3 linked regions of the Ovis aries genome follow. The protein of the gene in region 3 purifies or fractionates together with the protein of the main gene of each other region. This does not show direct contact. Links are inferred from orthologs where the notes say so. Each region holds a gene or a part of one and is shown on either strand. Other genes may lie near its edges.

Region 1 (3,989 bases), on a different chromosome or scaffold from region 3:
GCACCTATCAACAGTAGCTCTCTGCTATTAATATTAAGCCATGTAGACTGAAGTGCAATAAATGGAAAACTCTGACATGACTGTTTCTGGGACAATCTCTGATCACTTGAGCTTGCGCTTCTCGTAGTAACAGTTGCCATTTTTGTGAGCACTTCTTAGGTATCAGATACTACGATGGATTTACGATCTCATTTAACCCTTGTTAGTTGCTCAGTCCGGAGAAGGCAATGGTACCCCACTCCAGTACTCTTGCCTGGAAAATCCCATGGATGGAGGAGCGTGGTGGGCTGCAGTCCATGGGGTCGCTAAGAGTCGTACACCACTGAGCGACTTCATTTTCACTTTTCACCTTCATGCACTGGAGAAGGAAATGGCAACTCACTCCAGTATTCTTGCCTGGAGAATCCCAGTGACGGGGGAGCCTGGCGGGCTGCCGTCTATGGGGTCGCACAGAGTCGGACACGACTGAAGCGACTTAGCAGTAGCAGCAGCAATTGCTCAGTCGTCTGCCACTCTGAGACCCCATGGACTATACCCCGCCAGGCTCCTCTGTCTACGGAATTCTCCAGGCAAGAATACTGGAGTGGGTGGCCATTTCCTTCTCCAGAGGATCTTTTCCATTCAGAGATCGAAGCCGGGTTTCCCGAATTGCAGGCAGATTCTTTTACCACCTGAGCCTCCAGGGAAACCCCTATTCAATCCTTAGGAAAACCCTATGAAGTTGGCACTATTATTGTCTCTATTTTGCAGGTTAGGAAATTTAGGCTTAAATAAGCTATTGCCTCTCCCTGAATATTTTTTGAATAAATTCTTGTTCGTTAAATGCTTAATAAAGTGCTAAGTTAATAAATTATCAACGCTATTTTTAGACCAGCCGAGGTTAAACCCTACAGGAGTGACGTTCCTATTCTTTGCCACAACGTGACGTCACGACCAATCCCAGGACTACATTCCCAGCCAAGAGCCTCCGCCGACATCTCGCGAAAGCCGCGGTTTCTTCCAACCTATTTTGGGCATGCGCGCGGCTTCGAGTACCTTGGCTAGAGTGGTTTGATGATTTTCCGTCAGTCTCCCTAGAGTAGAGTTTTACCATCGAGGCACTTATTTCCTTCCAGTCACTCCAGTTCTCGCGAGACTTGCTACTCCTGCTCTTTCCCCACCCCGCCCCCGCGCTTGCGCAGAGCTCTTCAAAGCAGAAGGTCGCGCTTGGAGGAAGTGGCGGCTTTGGGTCCCGTGGCCGCCGCGCCGTTACTACTTCTCGGAAGCTCCGCTCGGCCGCTTGCCGAGACACCCCGCCGCCAAGATGCCTCGAATTATGATTAAGGGGGGCGTGTGGAGGAATACCGAGGTAAGTCCCCTTTTCCCGCCGTCTGCCCTCCGCCCCTCCGGCTGCGGGTGCGCACGCGCGCAGAGGTCCGGGAGGTGGAGAGGATGCCTTCGGGGTCTGCGTGGGGGGTGGTGCGGGGCCTTTACCCTGTGCCTGGACCTCAGTTATCTGAGCATCTCAAGGACAGGGACCGTGATTTAACCGCTTGATTACCTGCGGGGCACTCGTTAGGCCCTCAGTGAACATTTGTTGAGCTGACGCGTCCTCCGCCGTGGTGGAACTCACAGTAGGAGGGGGACACAGGACAATTGCGATAGTCGGTCTTCTAAGCCCCGCCCCCCGCACCCCACCGTTCCTCATCCCAGGCTCCGCGACTCTTTGCTGTTGAAAAATGAAGAGGTGCTGTGGCCACAACTTTGTTCTTTCCTTGAGTTCCTTGCTGAGGGGAAGCAGTTTGAGTGCCAGGTCCTAAGTACCTGGTTGTGTCCGCGTCCCCGCGGTCATGTTACCACGGCGTAACTTGTCCGCCCTCCGGTCACCCAAGGCCTGTCTCTTCCGCTTCATGTTGGGTAGAAGCCAGATAGGCCTACCATAGTCTCTTTGCTTCCAGAAATGTAGTGGATCGTGCCATTGGTGAACCAAAGAACAGTAGAAGAGTAAAATAGAAACAAGGTTTTAGTGCAGTTTCTGTTTATAGTGCCCTGAACTTGTCAGTTTCCCCAGAACACTCTGTCTTTTTACATCTTGCACCTTCTTGAAATATCCTCCTACTGCTTGGCATCTTTCTGACCTTCCTTCAAAAACAGTTCAGAAACTCTTCTGAAATTGGTCCAGAAGACCCATCCATTTGCCTGGTCATCCGGTAAAAAGTATTTGCACCTGCAATGGTCCCTGGACACCTCTTCTCATCCATTTGTTATGGTTTGCTTTTTTTTTTTTTTTGCAAGCATCACATCCTGTTTGATGCTGGGATTATTAACCTCTCAGAGACTCAGGTTTCTAATGGGGATGATAATAATATACTTATCTCTCGGAATTAAATGAGTCACTGCATTTGGAATATTTAGAACAGAGTCTGGCACATAGTAATCTTTCAGAAAGTACTACCTGCTGTTTCTTTTCCCCAGTAGACAGCACTGCAAGTGCGCAGGATCAGATCTTGCTATCTTTAGAACTCCGGACAGTGCCAAACAAAGTTTGCTTGGGAAATTTTGCTGAATGGATCTAGTAGGGTGTATAACTGTAGTATATACTTAGTTGAAGATGTGATTAAGTATAGCAGTACTGCAACAAAGTTACAAATTAAGTCAGTGAGAACCTTGCCTCTCAGCTTGCACAGAGGGGACCAGGCTGTTTCAGTTGGAGAAGAGATGACTTCTGAGGGAGAGACAGATGTACCAAATCAAGTAACAGCAGGATTCTGATGCTGTGGCCAAAGCCCTGCAGTCCTTGAGTCTCAGATGTTAGGGGTGTGGAGTGGCGAGGAGTGGCTAACATATGAGGCATATAGCTCAAGTTCATTGTGGGGAAAAAACCCTAAAAGTAAAATGCCCTGAGTGCATTCATCTATGGCTCTGATATCCCTGGTGTCTTTGGTTTAGCCTGACAGGCTCCCTTGGGATTGGTGAATTCTTTATTGGAATGGGTGCCCTGGTGAAATAGTATCTAGAGACTGGGGGGAAATTAGAGGCAGAGTTGATTGGTGACTTAGGGGAGACGTACTCAATTCTTAGGTTAGACCTGAGATATGGATTCTTAGGTGAGAGTGGGGGCTGTGGGACTGGAGAGAAAATGCTGTTCATAAACTGGGAAGCCTCAATTGGAAATTGGATTCACTTGAGTCTTGACTTTTTGAGGGCTGGATGTGTCCTGTTTTATCTTGTTTTCTCAAGTATTGATATACAAGACCTGATACAAGGCTGGTGTTTGGGCAGTATTTTTTGTGAATCAGTAAATCAATGAGCCATAATCTTTTTAAGAGACTAACAACCACACATTGGAGAATTCTTTTTAAAATCTCTGTCAAGTGGGGTTTCTCACATTGGGCTGTACCCACTCAATTTTTGGATGGGATTGGGGGAGGGGTTGTGTGTAAGGGAGGGTAGGATATCCTTCTAAGGGAGTTCTTAATTTCTTTCATTTTGTTGATTCTGGGTTGCTGTTTTTTTTTAAATTTTTATTATTGTAATGAAGTTTTATACTTTTGTTTTAAATTTAGGATATACGTGCGTGTTTATATCTCTTTCTCCCTAGTACAACCCAGTTAGAGTTAATTTAAATCTTGTCTTTTCTCACTTGGAGTTTTGTGAATGAATACATTGTTTTTCCTTTGAAAAAATTTAGGATGAAATTCTGAAAGCAGCGGTGATGAAATATGGGAAAAACCAGTGGTCTAGGATTGCCTCACTGCTGCATAGAAAGTCAGCAAAGCAGTGCAAAGCCAGATGGTATGTATCAGCTAATGAGTGGAAAACACAAAATGACCTTCATTATGATGAGGAAAATGTCATTTCTTTGAACCTTACCAAAGAAAAGCAGGCACTGTGATGTAACAGAAAGTAGGGAGTGGGAGTTGGGAATTTCAGTGTGAGAATTAGCTGTCTTTTGCTTCGTAAGTGGTCTTAGGCAAGCCATTTTCTGTCCCCTCTCTCCTGCCATTGTT
Region 2 (4,047 bases), on a different chromosome or scaffold from region 3:
TCTGGCTCTGATCACTATTCCTCCAACTCTCTATTACACAGCGCCCCCTAGACGTCCAATTCAGCATTTCCAAACCCAAACCCTGATTCTCCCTAAAAGAGCTTCTCATTTCCTGTAGCACTCAAAGAGGCCAAAATCTTGGGCTTCAGCCGCAGACTTCCCTTATCAGGCTTCCTGTCCGTTGGTCACTAAGTTCTGTGACCTCCTGCCTCGGGCCTTCCGTATTGTGTTCTCTATCCATCCTCGCTGCCAGGCCCTCAACACCTCTGGGTCTTCAGGTTCTCTTTCTCCTCCCTATATCTTTCTTTGCTTCGTTCTTTTCCATCCCTGTAGCAGGTGTTCACAAAGAAAATGTAGAAATTCTCTAGAAAGGAAAATGTTGAGATTCTCTCAGGTCTCCGCCAGGCTGTTCATAACTCCTCTCCACTGTAATTCCTCACCATGAGTTTTTTTTTCTTTTCCTTCCTATCTTCAGTGTGTGTTTAGATGTTTATTTACTTTTTGTTTGTTTGAGATATAGAATAGAAAGGAGTTGGTGGCTAAATTGCCACAATCTATTAAAAAATATACTAAGGCCCATACAAAGCCCAATTTAGTCATTACCTCAATTTTCTCAGGATTTTGAAGGACCTAAATAGAGACACAAGAACCATCTTTGAATTAGGCAATGGAAAACGCTGACATAAAATGGCTGCAGAACGCAATAAAATTATGAGCTAAAAATGAGGGTAAGAGGAGATCATAAGGAAATTTAGAAAGGGAAGAACGGGATACTTTCAAAATACTGCTTATGACAGTATTGCATGGGATGCAACAAAAACACACGCGTCTCCCCGAGCCAGCCAGGAGTCGAACCTGGAATCTTCTGATCCGTAGTCAGACGCGTTATCCATTGCGCCACTGGCCCCGAGACGACTTCGCTGGCCCCAATGATGACACTTCAAGCTTATACTGCAGGGCTTCATGGGACGTGTAGTCTCTGCACGGAGTTCTACGAGTACACGAAGCATTATGGGAGATTAAGTTCGTCGAGAATCAGACCCTGAGATTGGTGACTGTTCCGAAGCCTCGCCGTACGTCACTGTGAAGCCCGCGGATTGGCGAGAAGAGCCACTCCCCACCCTTCCTCCTCCAGCTCTAGAGCCGTGGGAGACGCTCTGGTTGTTAAGGTGAAACGTCCCGCCTTCTGGGGGCTTTTTTCCGGCTTTGTGATTGGCTGCTAGCTTCAGGGAATCTCGGCGTGGATTGCGCGAGGGAAAAGATGGCGGCGATGGCGGTCGGTGGTGCCGGTGGAAGCCGCGTGTCCAGCGGGAGGGACCTGAATTGCGTCCCCGAAATAGCTGACACACTGGGGGCTGTGGCCAAGCAGGGGTGAGGGCCTGGACCTCCGCGAGCTGAATGCGGGGTCCGAACTCGGGGACCGAGAGGGACAGACCAGTCATCCCCGAGAGGCAGGGGTGAGGGGGTCGAAGTGGATGAGACCAGGGCGGGAGAAACCATTTAGTCCTTCGGGGGGAGAAGCCTCGGGCCCTGGAGCTTGAGAGGAGGGCGGGAAACTTATTGGGGGCGTGTGGTCACTGAACCCCAAAGTCGGAGGAGTTATCAAGTAAATTCAAAAAGGGGGCGTAGAGACCTCCAGGGCCCCGTGTGAGATTGGGAGAAATAGTTAGGAGGTTAGGGAGAGGAGAGTTAAACCATGAGGGGGGATACTTAGGCAGTACTGCTGCCGATCTGGATGTGACAGTCTCGGAAAACCAGTGACAGCAGAGTAGAAAGTCCACGTGGTGTGGATATTCATCTTTTCTCTTAACTCATCTTTTCCATGGCTGTGTCCTGGCGAGAAATTGAGGCACAGTGCAGCGGAAGTGATATGCCCCAAGGTTGGCTGAATTCAGCAGTCTAGTCGGGTCGCTGGTGGCAGCTGAAAGGGTTGTGCAGAATCAAGAGAGCCAGTCCAATTACTTGGATCTCTGGGCACTGCTGCTGTCTTTACATGACGATTCTGGGTCTGTCGCGGTTGTAGGTTTGATTTCCTCTGCATGCCTGTGTTCCACCCGCGTTTCAAGAGGGAATTCACTCAGGAACCTGCTAAGAGTCGGCCGGGCCCCCAGACACGATCAGACCTACTGCTGTCAGGAAGGGGTAGGGAGCATCCCACATGCCCCTTAATTATTAGAGGCAGTAACAACTTATGCTTTATCAGTGCCTTCCTCCTCTTCCTTTCTTCACTTGGATATATTGGTTCGCCCCACGGATATAGATAACTCCTTACCTACCTACTAAAAGCCTTAGTTCCCTATTCTGTCAGGCTCTCCTGTATCTGTGATAGAAAAAGTCTTTGTCTCATCTGTAACTCTATTCCCTGTTAAGAACTAGAAATTGAATGAGTAAAGTGCTGAACCTTATTTAGTCTTTGTCTTTCTTGGGTGGGGGAGTGCAGACTGGAATACACTAATTGTGGGAAAGCTTTCTCCATGGATTCGTCCAGACTCAAAAGTGGAGAAGATACGCAGGAACTCTGAGGCGGTAAGACTGACCTCTTCACTGACTAAATATCAGTAAACAAGTTGGGTGGGGAGAGCACTTTTTCCCCACTCTGTAACTTAGTAAATTTGATATAATGCAATTAAAGCTATTTGAGTTGCTAGCTCTTAACTTTATCCTTTTAATCTCTATTCCAGGCTATGTTACAGGAGCTGAATTTTGGGGCATATTTGGGTCTTCCAGCTTTTCTGCTGCCCCTAAATCAGGAAGATAACACAAACTTGGCGAGAGTTTTGACCAATCACATCCACACTGGCCACCACTCCTCCATGGTATGGCAAGGGCTTCCTTCCCTGCTGCATATTATGATAGTCAGGCTGTGCTAAGTATCTTCTTGTTCCTAGCCATTCAGTGAAGGGTGCATTTGGGAGAACTGAAATGTCAGTACTGCCTACCCACACTAAGAGTGGTGAGCAAAGTATTATAAAACGTATAGAATATCAGTTATTTCCCACAACTTCTAGAGATAAAAGACAACATATAATCACAAATTGGGAATAGGATATAAGGGGATTAGCTTGAAATCTGGATCAAGATCTTTTTAATTGAAGGAAGCTTTCTGGACCCAATGGGTTCAAAACAGTTCTAAATAGGGTGTGGAACCTATTTATTGTTCATGTGCAGTTCTGGATGCGGGTGCCATTGGTGGCACCAGAGGACCTGAGAGATGATATAATTGAGAACGCACCAACTTCTCACACAGAGGAGTACAGTGGAGAGGAGAAGACATGGATGTGGTATGTTTCCTTTTGCCACTGTACCTGGGGTGGAGGGAAGTACAGAGTGGAACCTGTAGGAAGGTCTCCCTGAGGTGTGGTGATTAGTGGGCCGTATGTATTTGATGGAGCTTCCCTGGTGGCTCAGACAGTAAATGGTCCGCCTGCAATGCTGGAGACCTGGGTTCAATCCCTAGGTCAGGAAGACCCTCTGGAGAAGGAACTGGCAACCCACTCTAGTATTCTTGCCTGGAAAATTCCATGGACAGAGGAGCCTGGAGGGCTGCAGTCCATGGAGTCACAAGAGTTGGACATGACTGAGCAACTAACTTCTGTGTTTTAACTCTGCACAGGTGGCACAACTTCCGGACCTTGTGTGATTACAGCAAGAGGATTGCAGTGGGTGAGTCCACAAAGATCCTGGGATAGGTTATCCTTCTCTGAAATCCTGTGACTAAAAATCAGGAGTCTCATGTATACTTGGCTGCTGGGGCATACTTTCTCCATGCTTTAGTCTGCCTTGCTCTTAAGGAGGAGACAGATCTTGCACAAAAGAGCATGCAAAGATTCTGGCCTGTATGATTGACAGGTCTTTGTTTTCCCTTTTGTAGCTCTTGAAATTGGTGCTGACCTCCCATCTAACCATGTCATTGATCGTTGGCTTGGGGAGCCCATCAAAGCAGCCATTCTCCCCACCAGCATTTTCCTGACCAATAAGAAGGGATTCCCTGTTCTTTCTAAGATGCACCAGAGGCTGATCTTCCGACTTCTCAAGGTGTGTAGTGGA
Region 3 (4,740 bases):
CGCTGCTGTCGGAGGCTCTCCTAGTCGCCACCCGCTCCTCCGGGTCAGACCCGCGCCCTACACCAAAAGCTCTCCTGCCCCTGCCCCTGCCCCTTGACCCTCTGCAGCAGTCAGCTCCCCCAGTCAATCTCTTGCCGAGTTAACTCTATCCGCCTTTTACAGATGAACAAACAGGTAATTAACATTCCAAAGCCAGCTGAAATTCAAACCCACATCCAATTCCAAAGCCCAAGCTCCTAAACAGAAACTGCGACCCACACTGTAAAGCGATGCCATGCGAATTCACGCGCCGTGGGAAGGGAAGCGCACCAAGCAGTGGGTCCAACACGTCTTGGCAGAGCGATATTCAGCAGGTGAGTCCCGTAATCTCATTCTTCCCATTTCATGGATAAAACTATCACCCAAACCTGCTTGCTTGGCCAAGTATTTGCTCCGAGTGCAGTCACACGAGGTGCTTCTGCTAGGAAAATGGCAAATACCCAGAGTATGCGAGCGAAGACTCTGCTAGCTGCAAAGCACTGTGCAAACGCGCTGTGCGGGGCGGGGGCGCTGAGCCTGACGGCTCCGCTGAAGGCTGCGCTGCTGCTGCTGAGTCGCTTCAGTCGTGTCCGACTCTGTGCGACCCCACAGACCGCAGCCCGCCAGGCTCCCCGTCCACAGGATTTTCCAGGCAAGAGCGCTGGAGTGGGGTGCCACTGCCTCCTCCGGAAGGCTGTGCTGCTTCTCTTAAATGGGCCCAAAGTCCGTGAGAAGACAACCACGGGACTGGGAGCAGCGAAGGACGAGCAATCTAAACAGTCAGATTCTAGGTTTCATATTCTCAACCTCCAAGAGGCTCTCACTGATGCCCGCCTCTCTGGCACCTCTAATAGGGCCTGGCACAGCTTAGGCACTCGGTGAACCACCGCTGAGCAAGAACCTCAAGGAGCCCCAGCCGCCCGCGCCCTGCCCTCCGAGGCTCCGGCCCGCCCCGGCCCCGCACAGAGCAGGGCACCTGGCAGTTCATGTTGTCCTCCGCCTCGATGAGCTTGCCCCGATACACCTCGCCAGTGTTCGTCTCACACGTCACGATGTGGCCCTCGGCCTCGTGGAGGACTTTGATCGGCACTCCGATAGACATCCCGGCAGGAAGAGAGTTCTGCGGTGAGAGAGAGACAGCAGTTAGCTCATCTTCCGACGCCCAAGAACGCATGTGCAAACACCACAACCCCTCAAGGCTGACACTCTGGAAAACTCAGCAAAGTTGCCAGAGGTGCACTAGTTTTTTTTTTAGCTGAATTCTGAGCTTGAAGGACCCATCTGGCAAACACGTGCAGGGTGTGAGTGGGGAGGAACAGGGCCTCAACAGGGGGAAAGCTGACGGGAAAGAGCTGCCTCCCATCTTCCTTCCACCACAGGGCTCTTGAGTGCGCATGTTAAGTCGCTTTTCTGACTCTCTGCGACCCCATGGACTGTAGCCCACCAGGTTCCTCTGTCCGTGGGATTCTCCAGGCAACAATACTGGAGTGGGCTGCCACGCCCTTTTCCAGGGGATCTTCCCCACCCAGGGATGGAGCCCACGTCTCTTACATCTCCTGCACTGGCAAGAGGTCTTTTTAACCACTAGCGCCATCTGGGAAGCTCAGACGGGGCTGTGCGTTTAATTCAACCCATTAAGCACTCTGACCGTCTACTTACTTCACCATTAAGCTAAAGAGAAAATATCCAAGTGTTCACAAGGTGGCGGCGTGCTACAAGTGGGAAACGCTCACCCTGGAGGGAAAATATAACCAGGGAGAACCCCGACTTGATCTAATTAAGAGAGAAAAAAAGCAAGTGGATTTTTTCAATCCCAAGACGGGTGTATAAAACGAAAACTTCTGTAAAATGAAATGCTTTCTGCTCTCCAGTAATCAAGGCACGTCGCAGCCATCTGGTATTCCAGCCTTCCAAATGCAAATTTTTAAGCCCAGGTAAAAACCATACTGGCTTTTTGGCAGCTGTCCGTTACTTCCTGTAAGTGCTGAGGAGCTGGGGGATGTCAGAAGCACAAGAGGCGGTCCCTCGTACCTTAACTTTAGGGTAAAGGAGGAATTAGGCTGTGAACAGCCGAAAAGCAGGAATTGGCCCCAGATAGCTGAGATGCATGTGAAAGAAAAGATTTCAGGAAGCCCGGACTCTTGCATCTTCCCAAAGAACAGAAAAGTATTAAATCTCTTCAGGCCGGAGATCTGGTCTCCATTACTCAACAGTCATCTTTTAATATTCAGATTACCTGCCCCTTGCTGCAAACTTCTTTGTAGCCTGACTCCACCCCACCCAACATTTCTCTCTCCCAGGGGTCGCCTGAAATCCTGTCTTCCGGGCTCGGAGTCCTCATGATTCCCACCGAATAAACCTAATTCTCAGCTTTTAGGTGGCGGTATTTTTTCGGTTGACACGCAGCAGGAGGTCGAAAGAGAGGAAAAGGACCGGGAGAGGTTAGGAAAAAACAGGTTCCATTGCTGAGGACAACGCTGAACCGCAGCTGGGGGAACCGGGGCAGCACAGAGACTACCCCACGGAAGGGCAGCCGGAGTTACAAGACGCTGCAACACGATTTAGACAGAAGCAAGGAAATGTGATAACCTGTGTTTCCAGCGTTAGGGGATCAGGTCCTGGAAGGGGGAGGGAGGCAGAGATGCCAAGGGCTTTGAAAAGAAATCAGCCAAGTAGGGATCTGGGGGGAAGGTGGCCACCAGCCAGGAACGATCTCAAGACCACTGCCTGGATACTTCGAGAAACACCGGCCTGGAGAGGTTCGGAAACCGAAGAGCAAGTACTTCGGGGAAAAAGCTAACGAACGCACCTCCAGGCGCTTGGGAGGCGCCGCTGGGGGTCGGGGTGGCCCAGCTCCCCGCGGCTCTCCCTCCACGAGCACCGCAGGGCTCCTCGGCGGCGCGTCCTCCTCCAGCCCCCCGGCCCCCCGCGGGACCTCGGCCTAGCCCTCGCCCTCCCCGCACCCCCGGCCCCGTCCTCACCGGCTCCGGGCTCCTCTTTCAGAGGCGGCAGGGCAGACGGAACTCCGGCGACTGCGAAGGCGTGAGGGCGCGAATGGCGGGCCGCGCGCTCCCAGAATACCACGCGTTCCCAAAATGCCTCGCGCAGGGCCCGCCCCCTTCCTTTACCCGAGTGGCGGCGGGCGACGTCTCTCGCCTTCGCGTTCATCCTTACCGCGCCGGCTGGGGAACCCGAGCTCGGGTACAATAGTTCCGGGCCCGGGGAAGAGCGGGGCTGATGACCGGACCCAGGTGCCGCCGGAAACAGCGACCCTCGGGCCGGCCCGGGCCGAGGGGGACTCGCGGTCCCCAGCGCCCGACGCCAGACGCGGGCTGGACAGCGAGGCGGGCGGCGGCGGCGGCGGGGGCCCGGGGCCGGGACCTGCCCCCGCAGGGGAAGCCTGGGAAGCCGACGGCGCCGGGGAAGGGGTGCCCCGAGCGAGGCGAGTGCCCCCGGCGTGCGGACAGGGAGAGCGGGGACCCGGAGCAGCGGGCCGGGGGGCCGCCGGCGTGGGAGCCGGGGCGGGCCGGGGCGGGCCGGGGCGGGGCCTGGGGCCGCCGCCGCCTCCCGCCCCCGCTCCCCCCGGGGCGCTGGTGCTGGCCGCCCGGGGAGCCGGCGCGCGCCGGCCGCGCGCTCCCGTCCCCAGTCGACGCCAGAGCTGCAGCCCGCGCCGGGCCGGGGCCATGGGAGCCCCGCGCCGCCCGGGTCATGAGGACGGAGGTGGACGCGCAGGCAGCGGGGCCGCCGCTCGAGCCCGGTCAGTGTGGTCCCCCCGTCACCCCGGGGATCGCGGTGGGCGCGGGGCAGGGCCCCGGGGATCGGGGGGCGGCCCTGACCCCGGGGATCGCGGTGGGCGCCGGGCAGGGCCCCGGGGATCGGGGGGCGGCCCTGACCCCGGGGATCGCGGTGGGCGCGGGGCAGGGCCCTGGGGATCGGGGGGCGGCCCTGACCCCGGGGATCGCGGTGGGCGCGGGGCAGGGCCCCGGGGATCGGGGGGCGGCCCTGACCCCGGGGATCGCGGTGGGCGCGGGGCAGGGCCCTGGGGATCGGGGATCCGGGATCAGGGTTGGGGGGCAGCCCTCAGCCTGGGAATCGAGTTTGGGGGGGAACCCCGCCCGAGCGCCGGGCAGGGTCCGGCCGCGCGACCTTGGGCCGACCGCCGCCGCGGCCCCGGCTGTTGAGCTCTGAGCAAAACCTGGGCAGGTGTGCGCTCCGGCGGGTCCCGCCGGGCCGGCTACGGTCAGTTGGGGTTTGTTTGTTTTTCCTGATAACTCCCTGAGCAGGGACACCCCTGGGCATCTCTCGCTTGCGGTCATGGAGGGAAGGAGGGTCCTGGTTGAGCGGCCGGGGCGGGGGGAGGGGTCACCTTTCCCTGGAGCGAAAAGTCCTCTTTGGAGCTGCTTTGGGGAGAGCCTGTCCCCTCTCCGGTAACTGAGGCCTTAGACGGGGCAGGCAACTGGCAGGGCAGGGAGGGACAGCCTGCCCCTGGCCTCCCAGACTCCTGCCTGTTGTCTTGCTACGGAGTCTTCCTTCTCTAGTCCCGCCTTCCCCAGCGCCTGAGTTCCTTTGCTGGGGGGTGGGGAAGGGGGCACACACTGATAAATCAGCGGCCAGCCTCCGTGTGCTTTTCTGAGTGGGAGAGGGCGAGCAGTGGTTCCCCATCCCCTCTGCAACATACAGTTGACAAGAAAGGGCTGGTGAACTCTACAGTGAGGTGCCCGC

Evidence for each region.
Region 1: the proteins of SNRPD3 (region 3) and CDC5L purify together in Homo sapiens (affinity purification with mass spectrometry; 3 studies listed by BioGRID and IntAct, with this or other methods). This does not show direct contact. The link is inferred for Ovis aries from reciprocal best matches to the Homo sapiens genes SNRPD3 and CDC5L.
Region 2: the proteins of SNRPD3 (region 3) and PRMT5 purify together in Homo sapiens (affinity purification with mass spectrometry; 3 studies listed by BioGRID and IntAct, with this or other methods). This does not show direct contact. The link is inferred for Ovis aries from reciprocal best matches to the Homo sapiens genes SNRPD3 and PRMT5.

Annotation. Positions count from the first base shown.
Region 1 is NC_056073.1:17,846,965-17,850,953, forward strand, and holds the start of CDC5L (cell division cycle 5-like protein), read left to right. Parts: upstream 1-1,189; 5' UTR 1,190-1,303; coding exon 1,304-1,348; intron 1,349-3,670; coding exon 3,671-3,774; intron 3,775-3,989.
Region 2 is NC_056060.1:21,732,880-21,736,926, forward strand, and holds the start of PRMT5 (protein arginine N-methyltransferase 5), read left to right. Parts: upstream 1-1,247; 5' UTR 1,248-1,261; coding exon 1,262-1,371; exon of another isoform or gene 1,372-1,398; coding exon of another isoform or gene 1,399-1,457; intron 1,458-2,023; coding exon 2,024-2,142; intron 2,143-2,440; coding exon 2,441-2,526; intron 2,527-2,681; coding exon 2,682-2,816; intron 2,817-3,168; coding exon 3,169-3,281; intron 3,282-3,613; coding exon 3,614-3,663; intron 3,664-3,871; coding exon 3,872-4,035; intron 4,036-4,047. UniProt on the Homo sapiens protein: Arginine methyltransferase that can both catalyze the formation of omega-N monomethylarginine (MMA) and symmetrical dimethylarginine (sDMA), with a preference for the formation of MMA.
Region 3 is NC_056070.1:71,547,253-71,551,992, forward strand, and holds the start of SNRPD3 (small nuclear ribonucleoprotein Sm D3), read right to left. Parts: upstream 3,116-4,740; 5' UTR 3,000-3,115; intron 1,139-2,999; 5' UTR 1,121-1,138; coding exon 995-1,120; intron 1-994. Other genes in the region: protein GUCD1, read left to right, coding at 3,256-3,460. UniProt on the Homo sapiens protein: Plays a role in pre-mRNA splicing as a core component of the spliceosomal U1, U2, U4 and U5 small nuclear ribonucleoproteins (snRNPs), the building blocks of the spliceosome.